Medicago truncatula: one gene and its partner. Each later gene encodes a partner of the first gene's protein in a complex. Links are inferred from orthologs where the notes say so. Each region holds a gene or a part of one and is shown in the gene's direction. Other genes may lie near its edges.

The links.
Region 2: the proteins of protein TOO MANY MOUTHS (region 1) and protein EPIDERMAL PATTERNING FACTOR 2 are in contact, whole or in part, in a crystal structure (PDB 5XKJ), measured with the Arabidopsis thaliana proteins. The link is inferred for Medicago truncatula from reciprocal best matches to the Arabidopsis thaliana genes TMM and EPF2. Residues at the interface, in NP_178125.1 of Arabidopsis thaliana: Trp73, Ile77, Pro78, Arg82, Gly83, Arg84, Trp85, His86, Gly87, Ile88, Glu89, Met91, Val101, Asp110, Asp111, Thr112, Ala113, Lys135; in NP_564442.1 of Arabidopsis thaliana: Asp75, Tyr78, Ala79, Gly81, Ile104, Arg106, Arg112, Tyr113, Tyr114, His115, Val116, Pro117, Ser118, Arg119.

Annotation. Positions count from the first base shown.
Region 1 is NC_053043.1:51,015,808-51,027,016, forward strand, and holds protein TOO MANY MOUTHS, read left to right. Parts: upstream 1-6,617; 5' UTR 6,618-6,647; coding exon 6,648-8,147; 3' UTR 8,148-8,312; downstream 8,313-11,209. UniProt on the Arabidopsis thaliana protein: Promotes cell fate progression in stomatal development. In leaves, needed to correctly orient spacing divisions, to limit the number of asymmetric divisions in neighbor cells, and to promote the asymmetric (amplifying) divisions of meristemoids.
Region 2 is NC_053043.1:34,359,825-34,371,189, reverse strand, and holds protein EPIDERMAL PATTERNING FACTOR 2, read left to right. Parts: upstream 1-6,623; 5' UTR 6,624-6,727; coding exon 6,728-6,827; intron 6,828-7,049; coding exon 7,050-7,099; intron 7,100-7,203; coding exon 7,204-7,404; 3' UTR 7,405-7,557; downstream 7,558-11,365. Other genes in the region: uncharacterized protein, read right to left, coding at 2,653-2,745, 2,885-3,115. UniProt on the Arabidopsis thaliana protein: Controls stomatal patterning. Regulates the number of cells that enter, and remain in, the stomatal lineage by inhibiting protodermal cells from adopting the meristemoid mother cell (MMC) fate in a non-cell-autonomous manner.

The DNA of each region.
Region 1 (11,209 bases):
GCAGGTCATATGGCACGCAAGTGCAGAAACAGAACCAACCGACCAGCACAGGCTCACATGGCTACTGATGCTGCACCTGATGAGCCCTATGTGGCTATGATTACTGAGATCAATATGATTGCAGGTTCTGATGGCTGGTGGGTGGACACTGGTGCTTCTTGCCATGTCTGCTATGATAGAGATATGTTCAAAACATATACTGTTTGTGATGATCAGAAGGTGTTGTTGGGAGACTCCCACTCCACTGATGTTGTTGGAATCGGAGATATAGAGCTGAAGTTCACCTCTGGAAAGACTCTGATATTGAAGGATGTGCTGCACACTCCTAAGATTAGGAAGAATTTAGTTTCAGGTTTTCTTTTAAATAAGGCTGGGTTTACTCAAAGCATAGGGGCTGATTTGTACACCATCACTAAGAATGGTATTTTTGTTGGGAAAGGGTACGCCACTGATGGCATGTTTAAGTTGAACATTGATATGAATAAAATTTCTTCTTCTGCTTATATGTTGTGTGATTTTAATATTTGGCATTCTAGACTCTGTCACGTTAACAAAAGAATTATTTCAAATATGAGCGGTTTAGGATTAATTCCTAAAATATCTTTAAACGATTTTGAAAAATGTCAATTTTGTAGTCAAGCAAAAATAAATAAAGAATCACATAAATCAGTAACCAGGATAACTGAACCTTTTGAATTAATTCATTCTGATTTATGCGAATTAGATGGAAACTTGACTAGAAATGGAAAAAGATATTTCATCACTTTTATAGATGACTGCTCGGATTACACACATGTGTATTTAATGAGAAATAAAAATGAAGCGCTTGATATATTTAAACAGTATGTTAAAGAAATTGAAAATCAATTCAATATTAGAATCAAGCGTTTTAGAAGTGACAGAGGTACTGAATATGGATCACATATATTCAATGAGTATTATAAAGAACTCGGAATTATTCATGAAACAACTGCTCCTTATTCTCCTGAAATGAACGGTAAAGCGGAAAGAAAAAATAGAACGTTTACCGAATTAGTAGTTGCAACAATGCTTAATTCCGGAGCAGCGCCTCATTGGTGGGGAGAAATTTTATTGACTGTTTGCTATGTGCTAAACAGAGTACCCAAAACAAAGAACAAAATTTCTCCATATGAAATTTTGAAGAAAAGACAACCAAACTTGTCTTATTTTAGAACATGGGGCTGTCTAGCCTATGTAAGAAAACCAGACCCCAAAAGAGTCAAACTAGCAAGTAGAGCCTATGAATGTGCATTCATTGGGTATGCCTTAAATAGTAAAGCCTATAGGTTTTACGACCTGAAATCTAAAACGATCATAGAATCAAATGATGTTGACTTCTATGAAAATAAATTTCCCTTTAAGTCAGGAGACAGTGGGGGTAATAGTGGGGGCACCGATAACTCAGTTCTTGATCAACCTTCTGAAATCATAACAAGCAATGAAAACATCGAAAGAGATGTTATAGAACCTCGTAGAGGTAAGAGAGCAAGAATTGCTAAAGAATATGGCCCCGAATATGTGGCATATACAATAGAGGAGGATCCATCAAGCATCAAGGAAGCTCTGTCTTCAATTGACGCTGATTTATGGCAAGAAGCTATAAATGATGAAATGGATTCTCTAATGTCCAACGAAACTTGGCACCTAACTGACTTGCCTCCTGGATGTAAGACTATAGGTTGTAAGTGGATTTTGAAAAAGAAACTAAAACCTGATGGGTCAATCGACAAATATAAGGCACGCCTTGTAGCCAAAGGTTTTAGACAAAGAGAAAATGTAGATTTCTTTGACACATATTCACCTGTAACTAGAATCACTTCCATTAGGGTACTAATCTCATTGGCGGCTATCCACAATTTGATAGTACACCAAATGGATGTAAAAACTGTTTTTTTAAACGGTGAATTAGAAGAAGAAATCTACATGGACCAACCTGAAGGTTTCGTAATCCATGGACAAGAGAACAAAGTTTGTAAGTTAGACAAATCTTTGTATGGTCTAAAACAAGCACCGAAACAATGGCATGAGAAATTCGACAATCTTATGATTGAGAATGAGTTTAAGGTGAATGAAAGCGACAAGTGTATTTATTCCAAGTACGAAAATAACACTTGCACGATCATATGTCTATACGTAGACGACTTACTCATATTTGGTTCAAACCTCAATACCATTAAAGATGTGAAATCATTGTTGTGCCACAACTTTGATATGAAAGACCTAGGAAAGGCAGATGTAATTCTTGGAATCAAGATTACTAGAACTGATAATGGAATTTCCTTGAATCAATCTCACTACGTTGAGAAGATCTTAAGGAAATATAATTACTTCGATTGTAAACCTGCGAGCACACCTTGTGACCCAAGTGTGAAGCTATTTAAGAACACTGGAGATAGTGTTAGACAAACTGAATATGCGAGCATCATTGGCAGTCTCAGATATGCCACTGATTGTACTAGACCCGACATCGGCTACGCCGTGGGACTATTATGCAAGTTTACGAGCAGGCCAAGCATGGAGCATTGGCAAGCTATCGAAAGAGTCATGAGATACTTGAAGAAGACCATGACTCTAGGACTGCATTATCAGAGATATCCTGCAGTGCTTGAAGGATACAGTGACGCAGATTGGAACACCTTATCAGATGATTCCAAAGCGACCAGTGGCTATATATTTAGCATTGCTGGAGGAGCTGTTTCCTGGAAATCCAAGAAACAGACCATTCTGGCTCAGTCCACAATGGAATCTGAGATGATAGCACTAGCTGCTGCTAGTGAAGAAGCAAGTTGGCTAAGATGCTTGCTATCTGAAATCCCTTTGTGGGAGAGACCGTTACCAGCTGTGTTAATTCATTGTGATAGTACCGCGGCTATCGCAAAGATTGAGAATCGTTATTACAATGGTAAGAGACGACAGATAAGACGAAAACACAGCACGATAAGAGAATATCTTTCGAACGGAACGGTAAGAGTAGATTTCGTACGAACAAATGAAAACTTAGCTGATCCTTTGACGAAAGGACTAAACAGAGAGAAAGTCGCAAATACATCCAGTAGGATGGGACTAATGCCTATTGATCATAAGTGATGGAAACCCGACCTAAATGACTGGAGATCCCAAGAACTAGGTTCAATGGGTAATAACAAATCACAAGTGATAGAACATGCTATGAGAACGCATGATCCTGCAGTGACCGAAGGTTGAGATAATAGAAACTCTTAATGAGATCTATACTTCTTATGGAGTGAAGTACATAGCTACAGGAGTACTTCTGATAGACTCACCTATACGTATGTAGAACTGAGGCCGGTTCTTATGGAATTTCGAGGCAGAATTCCTAGAGCATTCGTTAAAACTGGGATAGACGTGCAAGGCCATTAACGCACGGGCTTTTTAGAAAACACCTAAGAAAAGGTTGTGTGTGGGTCCTATGTCTGAGATAGAGTTCAATGTTGTAAGCAACTCTTGTTAATCAGAATACTACTCACTATGCAAAGGTTCAAGTTGTTGGCGACACCTTTGTTTACTAGCAATCTTTAGGAAACGTTTAAAACGTAACTTTCGAAACCAATTTTGAATTCAAGTGGGGGATTGTTGGAACACTAGTGTATAATGAAAAAACTTGGAGTATACTAGTGAGTTTGTGGAGCCTTTGGCATGTAAACATAAGGATGGAGAAATTAGTGTAAAGTGTGAATTGAAAATTTTATGTCCCACATCGGGTAGATCACACACTCTAGTAGAAATCCTCCTTATAAATTGAGAGCTCGGGAATAGTATTCTTCACTCCAAAACTGAGAATCGAATACTCTTCTCCCCTTCTCATCTCCCGCGATTTGTGTTGACGAATCGTTCTTTTCCTCCTCCTCTTTCTGTGGGCTTCGGAAAATTGTGGGCTTCGGAAGAGTGGTCTAAGAACCATATTGTGGGATTCGGAAGAGTGGTCTAAGAACCATATTGTGGGTTTCGGAAGAGTGGTCTAAGTACCATATCGAGGTGTCATTCTCGAGCGATTTCTGGCAGTGCAGCCTTTAATCGTACAGTAAGAATCTGGGCTGTTTTATCCTGGAGACGGCGCGGTTGCTAGTCTACCTTGCACAATTCAGGTAGTGCCGCGAAACGTCTTAAAGAGAGCGACCTGGTCGTGACTCATCCCGGTAATAGTTTCAAAAGCTTCATCGTATATTTTCAAATTACAAAAAGTCAACAAGATATTATGTAATTTTCTGTGTCTTTCTTTGATATCAAGGGTCTCTGTTGACCGTTATATGAACCCCACACAAGCTGCAATGCATTGCAATTGCAGGGCTCCTATGAACGGTCAACAATGATCATGACACCATCGACACCCCTAAAAAACTAAAAAACATTTGAAGAAAATGTAAGAAAAGAGGTGATGTGAATAATGAAGGTATATCTTGAAGATGGAAGCTTATTTATAGCCTAAAACAAGTCCTAGGTCATTAATACAGTCAATGAAAACGTGTTAGTGGTTGTAACCGTCCAAACCCACATTAATGGCTCTGAATCTTTCCGGATTTTATATTTCGGAATGTCCTTAGCCCTACAGGAAGTGCCAACCTTTTCCTCGTTCACCACCATTATCGCATTAATCCGAAATGCATCTGTCATAGCCGGTGGTCTGCACCACACGTTTTTGTCGGTGGTCAAGTGAAAAAAAACGTGGTAAAACGCGTTTTTTGACTGCATTTATGGCCTCCCAACCGTTTTTGACACACCCCTCCCTATAAATAGTCTTCCAAACCCCACCATTTCTCACATCATCCTCTCCCACCCTCTCCTCGTCTTCTTCCTTCTACAACCATGGTTTTCCATCGTTGGTCTTTCATAGATAAGGGCCTCGTTGAAAACTTTCAGGGTTTGTATGAACGGTCAATGAGGATGGAACCGCGCTGCAGCAAATTGCAGTTCATCTGAGGGTCATGTGGGTCAGTGTGGTTCTTAGCTTGGCCTGTCTGGGCGTAAGTTTGAGCAGCCCCCCCCCCCCCTCCCATCTCCCTCAAGGGCATTGTTTTTTCTTCCCTCCTCCGGTTTTCCTCCAATAGGCAAACTACTGGTATGTCTCGTCACATACCAGTGGTGAGGCTCTTAGAATTAGTCTCATAGGAGATTAGAAATAGATTTAGGATCTTATGTAATAAGCTTGAAAAGGTTGAAAATTATTGTAATGTATTGTTCATATATTAATAAAATGAGTTGTTTTTATGTTTGTGTCTTTTTATTTCTGTTTTTTATTTTATTCGCATTTTATTTTACGAATTGTAAAGCTTAAAATTGCAGAACTTCTGGTAAAATATTATTCTGGATTTTCAAATCCGGAAACATCTGCAAAATTCGAACAATGCTTTCCGGAATACGAAATCTGAACGAGGGGTAAATTGGAAAGAAAAAAAAATTGGGCGTGCGAGGAAAGGTATAGGGTGGGAAAAATAATAGTCTAATTAAGATCAAGAATAAATTTTATTCTCTTTATTTCATCAAAAGAATGAATAAATGATCATAGGAATTAAGATTCTTTAAAAGGATTCAAATGCAAGGCAATCAAGATAAATTGCACATGGCCCATGAAACCTAGAAAGGAATAAAATCAGTAAAAGGCTTTCATGAATTTTCTACATGTAACATCCTGTTTTTCCAACATGCAAAATAATACATAATAATCAGAGTATTCAACTTAAACAGGATGTTATACTTCTTTAAAAGATCAATAGAATAAAATTACTATTTATTTAAACATCTTTTATCAATAATTTTCAAATTACATCTCAGCGAAAAAACATTTCATTATTCAACAAAATGACACTACGGCCTCAACATAAATAACTTCTTAAAAATTCCATTTCAAATGGTTCATCAACATAATTCATAATAATACGTAACAAATGGAAAATAATACAAATATTCTCATCCCGTTACATATCAGAGCGACCCTAAGACGACGTGTGAGAGAATCAACTCACATCAACAGCTAATTCTGGTTATCTGCACGTTACCCACGTAGAGGCAACATTCAAACAGAAGAGGTGAGATTTCACATTCAATAATAATAAACATATAATTCTATAAAAGAATTTAACAACACATAACAACATCTATTCATCATTAGTAATACTAATAAACAATAATTTAGATAAGAGAATTTATCAACATAAAACAACATTAATTTATTTTATTTTCCTCTTGTTTTCACATTATTTTCTTTCATCAATTCATTCATCATATTTACCAAACACTTTAAATTCAATTAACTAATATATCTACAATTCATTATTAATTTATCTACTATCTTCTGCAAAAGAACATCTCCTATCAAACTAGCTTATCTGCTTATTACTGCAACTAGTACAAGAGCCGTTGTCTTGTCTTCACCCAATTAACCTTTGAAAGTGTAAATCCCGTGAAACACATTAATGTGCAAATTCTGCCTCATTTACATTTATGACTATTCCATCATTTCTCGTGAACACAGTTACTCCAACCCAATGCACAACACCAACTCTCTCACCCCATTCATTTATTACAACACCCTCTATAAATACTAATAATATTGTCACATGATCAAATCACACACACAACACAACACACTTAAAAATTCAAAAAAAAATATGACTGGTAGCAATTGTCTCTTTACTCTACATCTGAATCAACATCAACAACTACTAGTAGTATGTTTTACTATATTGTTGTTTTTGTCGGATTTAGTAATGCCTTACACGGTTGAAATTTCTGATTCCAATAGCTCCACCGTGCCTTCAGGTTCCACACCACTAATAGATGGCATTTCACCTAAACAAGATAATGCAAGAACCGATCCCCGCGAGCAACATGCAGTTTACGACATCATGAGAGCCACTGGCAACGATTGGGCCACCGACATCCCTGACGTTTGTCGTGGTCGGTGGCATGGCATCGAATGCATGCCCGATAAAGACAATGTGTACCACATTGTCTCCCTCTCCTTCGGTGCTCTCTCAGACGACACGGCTTTTCCTACGTGCGATCCCACGAGTTCCACCATTTCACCCTCCATCCTAAACCTCCCTCATCTCAAAACCCTCTTCTTTTACCGTTGTTTTAGTTACAATCCTCACCCTATACCATCTTTCTTGGGCCGATTGGGCCCTTCATTGCAAACTCTAGTCTTAAGAGAAAATGGTCATATAGGCCGAATTCCTAATGAATTGGGTAATCTCACCTGTCTTAAGGTCCTTGATCTTCATAAAAACAATCTCAATGGTTCCATACCGGTTTCATTGAACCGGATAACCGGTCTAAAGTCGTTGGACTTGAGTGTTAACAAGTTAACTGGTCCCATACCCAACCTGACTTTCTTGAACTTAAATGTATTGGACTTGAACCAGAATCGTCTAACAGATTCAATCCCTTCTACTCTTTGGGAATGTCAATCTCTTATTAAATTGGACTTGAGTCGAAACAGGCTCTCAGGCCCAATTCCAGATAAACTAATGGGCCTAAAAGACCTTATGCTTATGGACTTGAGTTTCAACTGTATTCAAGGCCCGTTTCCAAAGTCCCTAAAAAGCCTGAGTTCTCTTCAGGCCTTGATGCTCAAAGGAAACCCAATGGGCTCAACAATATTACCCAACAATGGGTTCGACGGCATGAAAGATTTAACGATTTTAGTTATGTCGAATATGAATTTGCTCGGCCCAATACCGGAATCGTTAGGTAAATTACCAAACCTTCGCGTACTTCACCTTGATGGGAACCACTTCAATGGTTCGATCCCGAAAAGCTTTCGAGATTTGAGAAGCTTGAGTGAACTGAGGCTGAATGATAATGGGCTAACTGGACCTGTTCCATTTGAAAGGGAAATGGTTTGGAGGATGAAAAGAAAGTTAAGGCTTAATAACAATTCAGGGCTTTGTTATGATGCAAGTAGTGGTCTTGGAGATAGTGTGGACTCTGATCTTGGTATTGGTTTGTGTGAGAGTTCAAGTCCAGGTTCGGTTAGGACAGTGCAACATGTTTCAGACAGGGAAAAGCCTGCATTATTAGATTATGTTCCAATCTCATCGGATGCTACACTTACAAGGTCATTGAGACTAGTTACTTTTGTACTCTTTGCTTTAATTTTCTTGTAAGTAAAGTATATTCATTATAATAGCATAGGAAAAGAATCTAAGAAAGACCTTGTAATGTTAATTATTAGCAATATCAGTGTTTTAGATACAATAATGTCTCATAAATAAGATGATTACTAGTTGTACTCTATGATATAATTATGTGCAGGGATTACTTGTTCTAAATTTTGGCATCTTTTATTCTTCTTGTTGTTCTGCTAATTTTGGCATTTCTTGTGCCAATTAAATTTCTAATTTTAATATAGTTTGGCTCTTAAAAATAAGGTATTGTTTCTCACTAAAAAATGACCATAAATATCTTTTAAATTGAACTTTCATGCTGATTTTAATGAAAAATAGATTGTAAGAATATTTTGTTCTTAGAAAAGACAAAGCATAGCAACTAGTATCTACACTATCATAGTATCATATGGGTGATATAGCTGCCCTTTCATTGCACCATGCATCACAATTATGTATCAATCCAAATCTGCAATTACTATCAATTTAGGGTGCACATGCATAGAAAGATATGTCGGCTGATGTTTGAATTTTCATACTGCGTTGTAATTAGAAAAAATTCATTCTCAACAAACTTCAATCTTCCTTGAAAAATTCATAATTTATGCTCCTTTTTCTTCTTTTTGGGGCTCCAAGTGTTTGTAATCTTCAATTATACTGCAAATCTTTTGAAAAGTGACTGAAATCCAGGCTATAGTCACTTGTTGTCTCTTATATAAAAATTTATTGAACGGTGTAATATTATCCAAGTGTATATACTAATGTAATTTGATATATATTTGGATAGTGCTGCACTAATTATGAAGTTTTTATCAAATATTAATTAATAAACCAAAATCCTTGTTAGATTGAGAGCTTATTTAACTAGGCTTAAGTTGAGTCAAGCAAGTTGGGCTCATATAATAAGATAAGATGGATTGTCAATTTAGTCTCTAAATTTGAACTTTTTCTCCGATATAGTACTTCTTAAGATATATTAATATAATGACTAGTTTTTAAAGTCTATGCAATTTGCATAGACATACTTAGCATGGAGATAGATCCACCAAATTGCATAGACAATGGGGAAATTTGCCCATGCTTTAATTGATTTGATGGTAGAGTTCGTTTCTCGCTTTCCAAATAAAAGATCGTTTTTAATTACATAGAAAAATATGTATTTATAAGTTTAATAGATATTTGATTTGCATTTTTAAGGTTCTCTAAACAATTTCTTTAGAGCAATCGTTAATAATATAATCCGTAATATATTTTTTAAAGCATCTTCATTTTAACTAAGATCATTTTTGAATCGCTTCAATATTAATGAAATAATTGGTTTATCGATAGTGTTAATGGTATATAGTACTATAAGCAAGACAGAATCCTTGGGTATAATTATAAAACAACTATCCATAAATCTTATCTCAACTGATAAAATGTCGAAATTGTTAGGTTGGATGTCATGATCGGGGTTCGAACCCCGATACTTCCACATGATTTTATAATGGTTTTATCATTTCGTCCATCTAAAAAAAATTATAAAACAACTCATAATTTATTTCAGCATGTCTTAGAGGACAACCACTTCCTACCCTGATATCAATCATGCACTCATCATAGCCTTACCTAATAAGGAAAATTATATTGTATTGTACTAATGTTTATATTAGTATATTTATATACGATACATTCACACCTGCCATTCAACAAGACCCACAAAAACAAGTCTAATTATTTTCCCAATCTCATGAAACCCAGCTAAATTTTTAAATATTAAGAAATTTTTTATGCATCTCTTTTATCAATTTAATTAAGGGGAAAAAGAACATATTACCATCTTTTTTTAGTTAGAGGTGTATTGGATCATGATTCTAAGGGATTTTAAAAGACTTTTTTATCATGAAAAAGTCTTGTGGTATTCAATCAAAACTCTTTCCAATTTAAAAAAAGTCTTGTGTTATTCAATCAAGATTCTTTGTCATTTAAAAAAAGTCTTGTGGTATTCAATCGAGACTCTTAATCACTTAAAAAAAGTCTAGTGGTATTCAAAATCATTCAAATTTCGAAAGATTGTTTAATAAATAAGATTTTGATGGATTTTGTGGGATTTTCTAGTGAAATTTTAGCATTTTCATGAAAACATGAGATTTCTTAGGATTGTTTTTTTCTTTTAAAATTTTACTATCTCTCTCCTCCCTTCTCTCTTACTCTCTCTTTTCCTCTCCTCTCCTCTCTCTCTCTCTCTCTCTCTCCCCTTCCTTCTCTCTCTCTCTCTCTCTCTCTCTCTCTCTCTCTCTCTCGTAAAAAACCTCTCTCTAGCTCTCCCGTAAAAAATCTCTCTCTCTCGGATTCCTTCACTCTCTCTCTCTAGCTCTAGCTCTCCCGTAAAAAATAAAATAAAATAAATTAAAGAGTCTTTATTGAGATTTTGTAGCTCTAACTCTCCCGTAAAAAATAAAAAAAGATAAATAAAAGAGTATTTATTGAGATTTTGTGAAAGAAAGTGTGTTATGATATTTTTTTCAATTATTTCTTAAAATTTATAAAATCAGTTGAAATCTGTTGAAATCCATAAAATCATTTCAAATCCTTTAAAATCTTATGAATTAAATCCATTGAAATCCTTAATAGTCTTTTAAAATCATCAAAGTCATCAAAATCTTGCAAAATCTTTTAAAATCCTCAAGACTTTTTTAAACAAAAATTGTCTTTTAAAATCCTAATTCAATACACCCCCTTAATTTTCCCCCTTTCTTTATAGACAAGCAAGCAGAAATTCCATCTTTCCACACTTGTTTGATATAAAAATAAAATATCAAATAATTAATAGGAATAAAACACATGCATTTTGCTGTTTGGAAGATAACTTAAAATATGTCATTTTGCCCCATTACCTATTTGCAAGTCATTGCCTTGATAGCAACTGATTTGTTAGCTATCTTCAATTTTATTTTTGGTATGAGGAAGGCCTACCACTGCCTTATTAAAAAATTAATTACCTTTAATAAAGTTAAACTAAGCAACCGTTAGAAAAAAGTTGAGGTCCTTGTAGCTTGTGATAGAAAATGTTCACAAGTGTT
Region 2 (11,365 bases), about 17 Mb from region 1:
TTCTGACAAATATTTTTTCATATGCATTAGACAAAGATCAAACACGAGATCATGCGTCAAAAAAGTAAAATATTGAATGTTGAATAAAATAGTTAAGGGACACAAATATATACCACTTGGCTGATCTAGATATTGATTGCTAATATTATTATCTCAAAAAATTGGTAATTAAGTTTGTAGAGAATGTTATTTACAATAGAAAAAAGTCAACCTCTCAAAAAAATAGATAAAATTTAATAAAAGTATTATATAATTCAAGTATTAAAAAAATAACACAGACAACCATTAAAAGAAGAATACTTTTTTTGAATAGTTAAAAGAAGAATACTTATTTCACCTAAACAAAAAGAATAATGAACGGGTTTTAGTTTTTATTTGACTTGTGTTTTTTTATAATCATAATCTTTGACTTCTGGTCAAATTGCATTTTCCACATTTCTTCAATAAATCTTTTTTTCAAAACTTTTTAAGAAGCCAAAAATATATTAAGCAAAGTCCAAAAAAGCATAGGCTCATCAAACACTACGCAGCTCATCAAACAACGCTTTTTAGCACAAGGGTGTGTTTGAGGGTTTAGAAGGAGAATGGAGTTTTTTTTTTTTTAACAATAGGAGGAGAATGGAGTTTACTTTTCTTTTTTAAATTATTGACTATATAACATGTTTTTCTAAAATAAATTACATGTGATTGAAATATTACATGATCGTTTATCATGTTATTATATTAACTTTTTAAAAAATATTTCATAGTGTTCATAATTTAAAAACATTACTAGAAAAAGTAAAATTAGCAAGGGAAATTAGTGATGGAAAAAATGAAATTCCTCACAAATTTCATGGTCACAAAATTTAGTGACGGAATTAGAGAGGGATTTCACGTTTTCCCTCACAAAATTTCCCTCACTAATTTTTATTTTTTTAGTAGTGAAATGAAAAATAAACTCTCTCTTAAACTCTCCGTCCAAACACACCGAAGATATGTCTATCAAGAACTTAAAACAATGTCACACAAACATAAAAGTCCACACCATCAAAGCCAAAAATTGGTAAACACACCAAAGGTGGAGAACCCAATACAAGCAGACAAATATATCCACCAAGAGTGAATATATAAAAAAAAAATTAAAAATAAAAGGGTAGAATACTACACCATCACGTCACTCTAAATTTCTCCATTCTTCCTCTCTCTCAAACCCTAACTGTCACACTCGTTCTTCTTCTTCTTCTTTCAGATGGGTGATTTAGGGTCAATTTTGACCCAAAAATCACTCATCCGAATTGTTTTTCCTTCTATCATAATTTAATTGAATATGTGATTTTACATATTTTCTGTTTTCTTTCGTTTGTTTTTGTGATTTCTTCGTCTCTGAACGACTCTGTTTCTTTTGATTTCCCTTCTTTGTGCGGTGTGTTTTTTATTTCCCGTCTTAGTGCGGTGTTTATTTGATTCAGGTTGAAAGATTAGTTTTGAGCAAGAGCAGATCCGATCAATGACAATAACTTTCGCGTCGTCAACGTTGCAGATCCGGAGACATGAATATAGTCATATTAGTCATATTTGTAGGCATCGGTACTTTGTCATTTTATGTTATTACCATGGATGTTGTGAGTTTGTTCACAAATTTATCCTTTTTGTTTTTATCGAATTTGGATTTGTATTGTATCGATGTACTCTATCAATTTGAATGAATGAATATTGTTTATTTTTGCAAAAAAAAAAAAAAAAAGGGTAGACCAAAGAACCTTCAGTTACCAACCAATTTTCAGAAAAATATGATTGATCGGTTCCTCATTTCCATATCCATCATAAGACAACAAAGTGTGTGTTTGGGTGGGCGGTGGAGAGAATTAATTTTAATACAATTGAGTTTGAGAGAATTGATTTTGCTTAAAAGTGAGTTGGATGTGAATTGATTTATATTTGGATACTCTCACATAGAAGTGATTCTTATGAGTTGATGTTGTTTGAATAGTTTGAATCAAAATTAATTTTAAATGTATAATGACCAACTTATCCTTTTTTTTTTTTTAAGGAACTTATCCTTTTTGTTGTATTTAAATTCACTTTAAAATATTAATTTACAAGAGTTGTTTTTAAATACAGTAAACTATAAGCACCGTAAAATATAAGCATGATAATGAAATGAAAAACCACCATCATCGTTCTAATCAGTCTTTTTTTTTGTGTGAATATATATAGAGTTTTAAATTTTTTCTCTCTCTATATCTATATATATATATATTTGTTTTTTTTTGGTAGTGTATATATATATTTGTTTGATAATCTTTGATTTTTTTTAATGCTAGTAATATATTAAATAAAATATTGGCAACACAATGGGACTAATTTTGGAACATCTTTTTTCTGCACCAATACAATAAGAAGCCGATAAGGGAAATTGTAGCAAGCAACCATTGAAAATACAGTAGAACAATTAGAGTAAATATTGGTAGACATCTCTTTTTTGTACCACTCTTGTACCATCCCATGTGGCAGGGACATTTTTGTAAATTTACCCATTTTTTTATTTTGTTTTTCTGATTCATTCAGAGACCATCCCCTCTCTCAAACTTCCCCTTTCATCTCAAATCATCCGCCGCACTTCCATCTCTGGTGATACTGCTCGTTTTCCAAGGGTATCTTTGTTTTCTCCTATCCATAATCAAGAAGGAAAAGATCATTGCTTAAACATCCATAGCAAAGTAATAAAGGGTCGTCTTCCTTGATTGCTTTCTCAGCCACAACCTATGGCAAAGATTGAATTCCTCAGCAAAGAAAAATCAAAAGTATAGTTGTTTCTGAAAAGAAAATTCCTCAGAATTTGACGTGTGAGTGTATGTGTCTGGGATAGGAGTCATGAAGGAAAGAGTATGAAATAACATGCCTTCACCCACATCTTTGTGCTACCAGTTTCTTGTTCCTGAACAATTCTAACATTTGGATTGAAACTATGATTACACATGTCAATTAGAGGGAGCATCATGGGAATGTCAAAGTTTACCCCATTCGATTGCTTGTTACCATGTAACTTGAATGCTCTAGATGAAACTGCTGACATAGCCCATCCAAGAGATGAAGCATCTACTTCTTGGCAATCGAAAGGAGAAATTTGCATAATTTTTTATGTCCTTTTTTTTGTGTGGAGAAGAGGTGCCACGGCCGGTGAAGGAAGGAGGAACCACGGTCGGCGGAGGTGACGGCAGGATATGAGTTTTATTAGTTCCGGCGCCGGCGTCGGTTTTTTGTCAGTTGTGGTCTGTGGTGGTGGTAAAGAGAGAGGGAGAAGAAAGAGAAGGGGAAAGGCAGTCAAGAGAGAGAATTCATTTTTTATTATTTTAAGTTAAATTGTGCCACAAGAGGTGTATAAGGTGGGATTGCCACATAAAGTGGTCTACCTATAACCACCCAACAATTAAGGGTAAAGCTGGAAACAAATATATACTTTATGCAAAATCAATTTAAGCAGACGCAAAACTGCTACATAAAGCAGCTTCATCTAGAATCAAGTTTAAAGGGAAAAAAGCACGTTTTCAATTGGATGCCAAACATCCTATTCATACCATAAAATCACGTTTGATGTGCTAATCGTGCGTTTGTGCTTCTCAAACGCAGATCCAAACAGGGGCTTAAGACATGTAATAAAAACGGCAACAAGAATAAGAATTATTCCTTATCGAAATACTTTTGTTCAACAGTCGCAACATGAAAAGCAAAACTTTTCCCAAATTCTATTTGTAATGGGCTCCTTAGATTGTTGGTCATCGTGTGTTAACAGCTGATAGACTCCTTTAACTGAATAGTGTTGTGAGTTCCGGTTGATAATCACACCAATGAAAAACAAAGATGTGTGGAGCAAAGGAAGTAATAATCAATGTGTAAAGTGTCTCCAAGCAACAATAACAAAAAAACAGACCTAGTCTAGTGTAGAGCAACACCACAAGCATATACAAAGAACAAAGATAAGCAATGAAAGAAGAAACAAACACACCAAAAGATTGTTGACCCAGTTCGGTCCAATATGACCTAATTTGGGGGAGAGAGCAGCTCTCCAATCCACTATGATGAAAGTGTTACAAAGAGTTACAAGAAAATAGCTTGCAAGCTTACACAAGAACAAGATCTAATTTCTACCCATTTGTGTTTCCCACTCTCTCAATAATGACCCCTAAAGAGAAGACACAAAAGGAAGCTTTTGATCCTTCCAATGGTGAAATCTCACTACCCAAGATGTTTACAATGTTTCCCAACCCAAGAGATCCTCACTATAAAGACACTCAACCCTAAAGTTACCTCCTTTGTAATCCAAGTTTCTCTCTCTTCAAGCTCTTCTTCAAAATCTACACAAGAACACTTATATAGCAGTCTTCAGTTGATAAAATCGTGCCACGTTTTCCAAATCGTGCCACGATTGATGCGTACGACCCAAGGTACGACCAACCTTATCCTGAAAACTTAACCAGCAAGTTTGAAAATCGTGTCACGATTTCACAAAATTGTGCCACGATTTGACACCCTGCAAACCAGCTCACGGCATTACAAAATCGTGTCACGATTTCTCTGTTTTTCCAAACCACAAATTTGAAGCCAAATTTCAACAAATAGCCTTCAGCTGGGTTGTATATCCTAGTGCTTGTATCTACAATATTACCCTGAAAAAACAATATTATTAACAAAGAGTAACCCTCCAACACATGCTCCTCCTCCCAAGTAAATAGTCTCCTCATCCACTTCCACTTATTTCCATCAACCCCCAACCTAACTTCCTCATCTCAGCCACTGTTATATTACTATCAACATGAAGATAAAAAAAGTGGTTGAACTTGTATCGTAAAGGACCACCTTTCAACAAGGGATCATTCGAAAAAGAAGAATTCTTGCCATTACCCACTCTCCACCTTTGAACCACCCCCTTAAAACCTTCAAACTCCAGGATAGAACAAACTTTATCCCATTTTATCTGGTGAATTTTGCGAGCAACCTTACTAACCCCCCGCCCACATAAAAATAGTTTTAAATGGGATTCAAGTAAAGAAAGTAAATTGGTAATGACGACAAGACATGTTTCATAAGAGCAAGTCGATCGCCCGTAGATAGGTTTTTACTTTTCCACCAATATATTCTTTTTCGAATGTTGTCAAACAAACGATGGCAAAAAGACAAGGGGTGAGGGTTGCCACCAATAGTAAGCCCAAATAAACAAATGATATCCACTCAATTTTATATTTTAAAACAACAGTGGCTTCCACGCTGGTCATGATTCCTCAACATTAACACCTATCAGAAAGCGCTTATGAAAATTCACTTTTGAACCAAGTACGAGCTCAAAAAGAATTAAATTTTCCTTTAAAGCTCGGATATTTCCTAACTTTTCTCCCCTAAAAGCAACATATCATCAGCAAATTGAAGATGATAAAATCAAAAATTGGAATCTTCACCAATGACATAACCAATAAAAAGACCCACATTCACGTAGGAATTTAACATCACATTCAAACCTTCAGCTGCAATAAGAAGAAAAAAAAAACGGTGAAAGGAGATCGTCTTGGTGTAACCCTCTATCCATCTTAAACTCGTCGGTGGGACTGCATTAACTAAAATGGAATTGTCACTGATTTCACACATTACATGATCTACTTACACCATATACACAAGAAATCTATCTTAACCATAACCACTTCCAGATACTCCAATTCTAGAGTCATAGGCCTTTTTGAAGTCAACTTTGAACAAAATGAACTCTTTTTTTTATTTCTTGGCATCATCAACACCTTATTATCAATGGCAATACCATCCACAGAAGAAAAGAAAAATCTAACCTTAGATTTCTCGGTCTGTTGGCCAACACATTCGCCAAAAATTTATACATACAACCAATTAGAGATATGGGCTTAAAACCTTATTGTAATCAATCTTATTCAATTTTTTTATTCGTATCATTTTGTCATCAATACAAGACTAACGACTAATTTGCTCATTATAAATATATATATATATATATATATACCAATTTGCTCCCTCTTTCTGGTCCATTTCAGTCATTAACAAAAACTAATACCTAAATTAATCCCTTAAATTTTGACCTATTTAACATTTGAATTAAGCCAAAGTGCTTACCAATGTAGCTGTGGATACTGCTAGCTTTCAGTTGGCCTTAATATCACTCGATTTGCTCTAGATATGGTCCTCTGACACATGCAACATATTTCCTCCAATACTCTACAAAATTTTGAAATTTGTTGAATTTATGACAAATTAAATATTAAGATAGCAACCGCTGTTAAAGAAGGTTTGTCAGTCATTTTCACTTGTCCAGCATGTTGAAATTAATTCCATCATTCAAACAATAATATTTCCCTTTCCTTTGATAAATCAAACCCCACATTCCAATTTGTATCCAAACGGTTTGGAATTATTATTCAAATTAAATGTTCTCTTTATTTATATTTATAGTTTCTGACCATACTGATAATTTTTTGTTTTATATTTATTTCTCGGATAAACCAAAACTTGTGAAGTATTTAATAGAAGGTCGTGGATCATGTGAGATATGGCAGATATGAATCTTGTTGCACATTTAATATCCCTTTGCATATTCGTGCATATATTAATAGGCCCCTCTTTGTATGGTATAGTATAGTACCCCCTACATTTGCTAGCTAGCTTACATTTTTTCTCTACTAATGAAAATTGATTTTATGCTACACTTGAGTTTGTAGTTCCTACAAATATGAGCACTTACTCTCTTAGAGCCCACAAATCTTTCCTAGTTGTTATTTTCTTCACGGTATTTTCTATTGGTTGGTGCCTTAGAGTGATCCCAAATCATGGTACGTGACATGTTTTACATTTTATATTTTGGCTTCCTTAACCGTTGCCCCCGGGGAACCAGTTAACATGACCCTTTACGTAATTTTGAAAGTAACACATGAATTTGATATTGTTTTTCTCGTAGTTACCTCATGCATAAGTGTTCTAGTATCATGTAATGATGTAAGTATCTATGTTATTGCCTTGAGTATTTCACATTCGTTTTTATTCTCATGTTCCAGATAAGGTAATGCACTTACAAGAAGAGAGAACAACAATTATAGACAAAAAGGTTTGACACATTTAGTTTCAACATTGTATAATGTATAGTTACTCACTTCACTTGTGTCAAGAAGTGAATGATCAATTGTGATTCACATATTTGTGATTTTGTAGGAAGGAGCAAGAGAAGGTAGCAATGTAATGGAACTCTATCCAACCGGTTCCACCATACCAGATTGTTCCCATGCATGTGGACCATGTTCACCCTGCAAGAGAGTCATGGTAGGTTACAACAAATGTTCTATGGCAGAGTCTTGTCCTATGGTTTACAGATGTATTTGTAAAGGAAAATACTACCATGTTCCCTCGAATTGATCGATCGATGATCATAGTTATTAATTTTTGTTAGAAGTTTAGGAGCATTGTTGTTATTCTGAAGGTGATGATGAAGTTTGGGTATTTTTACCATTTGGAGCTACTTAGATTTGTTAGGCATTGTTGTTTAAACAAAGGGAAACTTTTTTATCATGACTCCATCTTTTGTTGCTTGCTTGTGTGTCTTGACTTGACTGTCTTTAAATAACTGAAAAATGAACATCATATGAGAGTTATTTACATGAAAAGTAAAAACTACCCATGCAAGGTTATTGTCTTAAACATTCTTGAGTGTATCACTAGATAAAAATATGGCCTAAAATGTGGTTATAAATGATGAACACTTGTCACAAACTCGATTCAAATTTTAAGATAGTGTTCAAGTCTTTTTCTAGATTCATCAAGTCACTCGAGTCACACTCAAGGTGTTAGTTGCGAGTGTGTGTTGTGATGAGTCTCATAATTTTTTTGACTCATAAATGGTGAGGTGACATATTTTAAATTGTATGTCATGCAATCTGATGATGTGGAATACTTAATAACCACAAAGTTACAAAAATAAAACTCTAAAACTTCAATTAAAATATGATATATCACCATTTTTAAGTTTAAAAACTGAAGTGAAAAAAAGGATGAAAAATGTGTGATTTTAAAATGGAGGGACCATTTATGTGAGTAGGTTAAAATAGGGAGACAGAAAATTAAGCTTATATTAAATTACAGTTCAAAAATCTGAACAAAGGGACCAAGACTGTCCTTAATTAAACTTATTTTATCACACAAATTTAAAATGAGAATGAGTGTATTATTTGGATTATGGAGAAAAGCTATAGTTAAGCAGTTGGTATAAGTAGTTAGACATTTCATAACATCTTCAAATATTGTAACATCAAAGTTCTCCAATCTTCTGAGAAACTTGATTCATGGAAGCAAACCTGTTTCTATTCCATGTCTGGTTTCATACCTTCTCAGATTTTCAACACAAGAAAAGTCATAAAGTGGCTTAGTGGCTTCAATTCCTATGAAATTACATACTACTAATAGTAAAATAAAATATTTTTTAGTAGTGCTAGAAAGCTTCATGATATTCAAGAAAAAATAATGTAACTAATTTCAAGCAAATTAATCAGATGATATTTTTCTGTACAATGTTTTCCCCCTTATAGGCCTCTAATTACTTTAAGAAGTTCTTTACAGTTCACAAGAAGAAAACCCAGAAGAAAAATTCATCCATTTTGGGGTTGGTTTAAAACGTAGTAAAATATGTTTCATAAGCATCTTGAGAGAAATTCGATTGGTATATATAGACATCATTCATATGTAAACCACCATTATTAATCCCAGATAGTGAAGCATAGCGGCAGACTCCAAAAATGCTATAGCGAAATAGTATGTAGCACAATGGCCGCTATTTTGAAATTTTATACAGCTTATATAATTTACACAGACATAAAAATGTTGTTGTGTGCCAGTGTGACTTATATGTCCCACATCGGATAGAAAAGTAAAGGTTGAACATCTTATAAGTAAGAGGACCCATAAACTCATTGCCTTAAGGTTTTGGGTAAGAGTGTGGTGTCTCTCTCTTGTGGGGTTGTTCTAGCATGATGTCTCACATCGGATAGAAAAGTAAAGGTTGAACACTTTATAAGTAAGAGGACTCATAAACACTTTGCCTTAAAGTTTAGGGTAAGAGTCTGAGACAGAGGAACGGAAGAGAAGCCGAAATGCGATGACCGCTACACTAAAATAATCGCTATAACGAATTATGTGACTATGTTCTAAAACCAAACAAAAGAGGGACGGAAGGGAGTGGAAAGCATTCAAAAGAAGAAATGTTTCATTAAAAATAATAGATTCTTAGAGCAATATGGTTCTTTCTCATGTATCTTCGATGATATGGCTAAAATTTACTTTCGTTAGAAATGTGATATATACGCTTCTTATTGGGAAGAAAAGTTGGGCTAATGTTCGTGCTTTGAGGGCTGCTCTCGTCTTGTTTGAGGCTATGTCAGGTTTGAAAGTTAACTATCATAAAAGTTCGTTGATAGGGGTTAATATTAATGCTTCTTGGTTGACTGAAGCGGCTTTAGTGTTGGGTTGTAAATTGGGTACAGTGTCGTTTCTCTATTTGGGCCTTCCGATTGGGGGTGACTCTCGTCGGTTATTATTTTGGAAACCTGTTGTTAATCGAATTAAATCTAGACTGTCTGGTTGTCGTAGTCGGTTTCTCTCTTTTGGTGGTCGCCTAATCCTTCTCAAGTCCGTCCTGACTGCTCTTCATGTCTATGCACTTTCCTTTTTCAAAGTTTCGTCAGGTATAATCTCTTCCATTGAATCTCTGTTAATTAAATTTTTTTTTTTTGGGGGGGGGTAGTGAGGATAAAAGAAAAATAGTTTGGATTGGTTGGAATTCTTTGAGTCTAAAAAAGGAGTATGGAGGGTTGGGTGTAAGGAGGTTGAGAGAGTTTAATTTAGCCCTGTTAGGAAAATGGTGTTGGCGTTTGTTAGTGGAGAGGGAAGGGTTATGGCGTAAGGTGTTGAGGGCTAGGTATGGTGTGGCGGATGGAGGTTTGGAGGATGGGGGCCGGAGTTGTTCTTCTTGGTGGAGGGAGATAGTGAGGATTAGAGATGGGATAGACGAGGGTGGGGAGGGTTGGTTTTCGGTTTGTGTTAGGAGGAGGGTGGGGGATGGTTCCGATACTGATTTTTGGCGGGATTGTCGGTGTGGTGATGTTCTGTTTCGTGAGCGCTTTAGACGGCTATATGATTTGGCCGTCAACAAAGTAATCACGGTTAGGACTATGTTTTTGTTGGGGGTGGAGGTTGGTGGTGAGGCGTGGTAGTGGCGTCGTCGGTTATGGGCATGGGAGGATGACCTAGTAGAGGAGTGTAGGGCTTTATTACTGACAGTTTTTTTGCAGGAATCTGTTTCAGATAGATGGTTGTGGCTACCGGATCAGGGAGGCGGTTATTCAGTCCGTAGGGTGTATGACATGCTGACATCACAGGAACAGCCTCAGTTACATTCATCTATGGAATTAATTTGGCATAAACAGGTACCTCTAAAAGTATCTATTCTTGCTTGGCGGCTTTTGAGGGATCGCTTACCTACGAAGGGAAATTTGGCAAACCATGGCATTATTCATATGGAGGGGCGGTTATGTGTTTCCGGTTGTGGTCATGATGAAGATGTGAATCATTTGTTTTTGTCTTGTCCATTTTTTGGTGCCTTATGGTCTTTGGTGCGGGAGTGGCTGGGGGTTGAAGGTGTTGATTCTTAGTCTATGGCAGACCATTTTTTGCAATTTATTCAGTATGCTGGTAGTTGGAAATCACATCGATCGTTCTTCCATTTGATTTGGCTTTAGTGTATTTGGGTTTTATGGAATTAGCGGACGATAGAGTTTTTAGAAACAGGCAGAGCTCTTTACCACAAATGTTAGACAAAGTAAAATCATCTTCTTTGTGGTGGTTAAAAGCTAGTAATATTGTTTTTAGCTATGGTACTCATAATTGGTGGTCGAGCCCTTTGGTTTGTATGGGCATCGATTGATAACTTGTGTATTCTTGACAGGACTTTGTTTTCTTCCATGATTGTTTAGCACGCCTTGTGCTGCAACGATTACGTTTGTGGTAATATATATTTCATTTTGGCTTGTTCAAAAAAAAAAAAAATCTTCAGATGCTTAGAAATGTGATCAAATTTATGATACCAAAAGTTTACTTTGGTTCTGGATCAGCTTATGCATCATGCATGAACAAAACTAACTACTACCAATGTAGTAACAACTAGCAGCCCTGTAATATAGCATTGTTTGGATAAACAACTTATTTTGAAGCTTATCATATAAGCGCTTAAAATTAAGCTATTTCTACCATACAAAATAAAATAAAGTCAAACTGTTTTTGTATAATCTATAATAAATTACTCTGGAGAGCTAATGGAAATAAGTTGAAA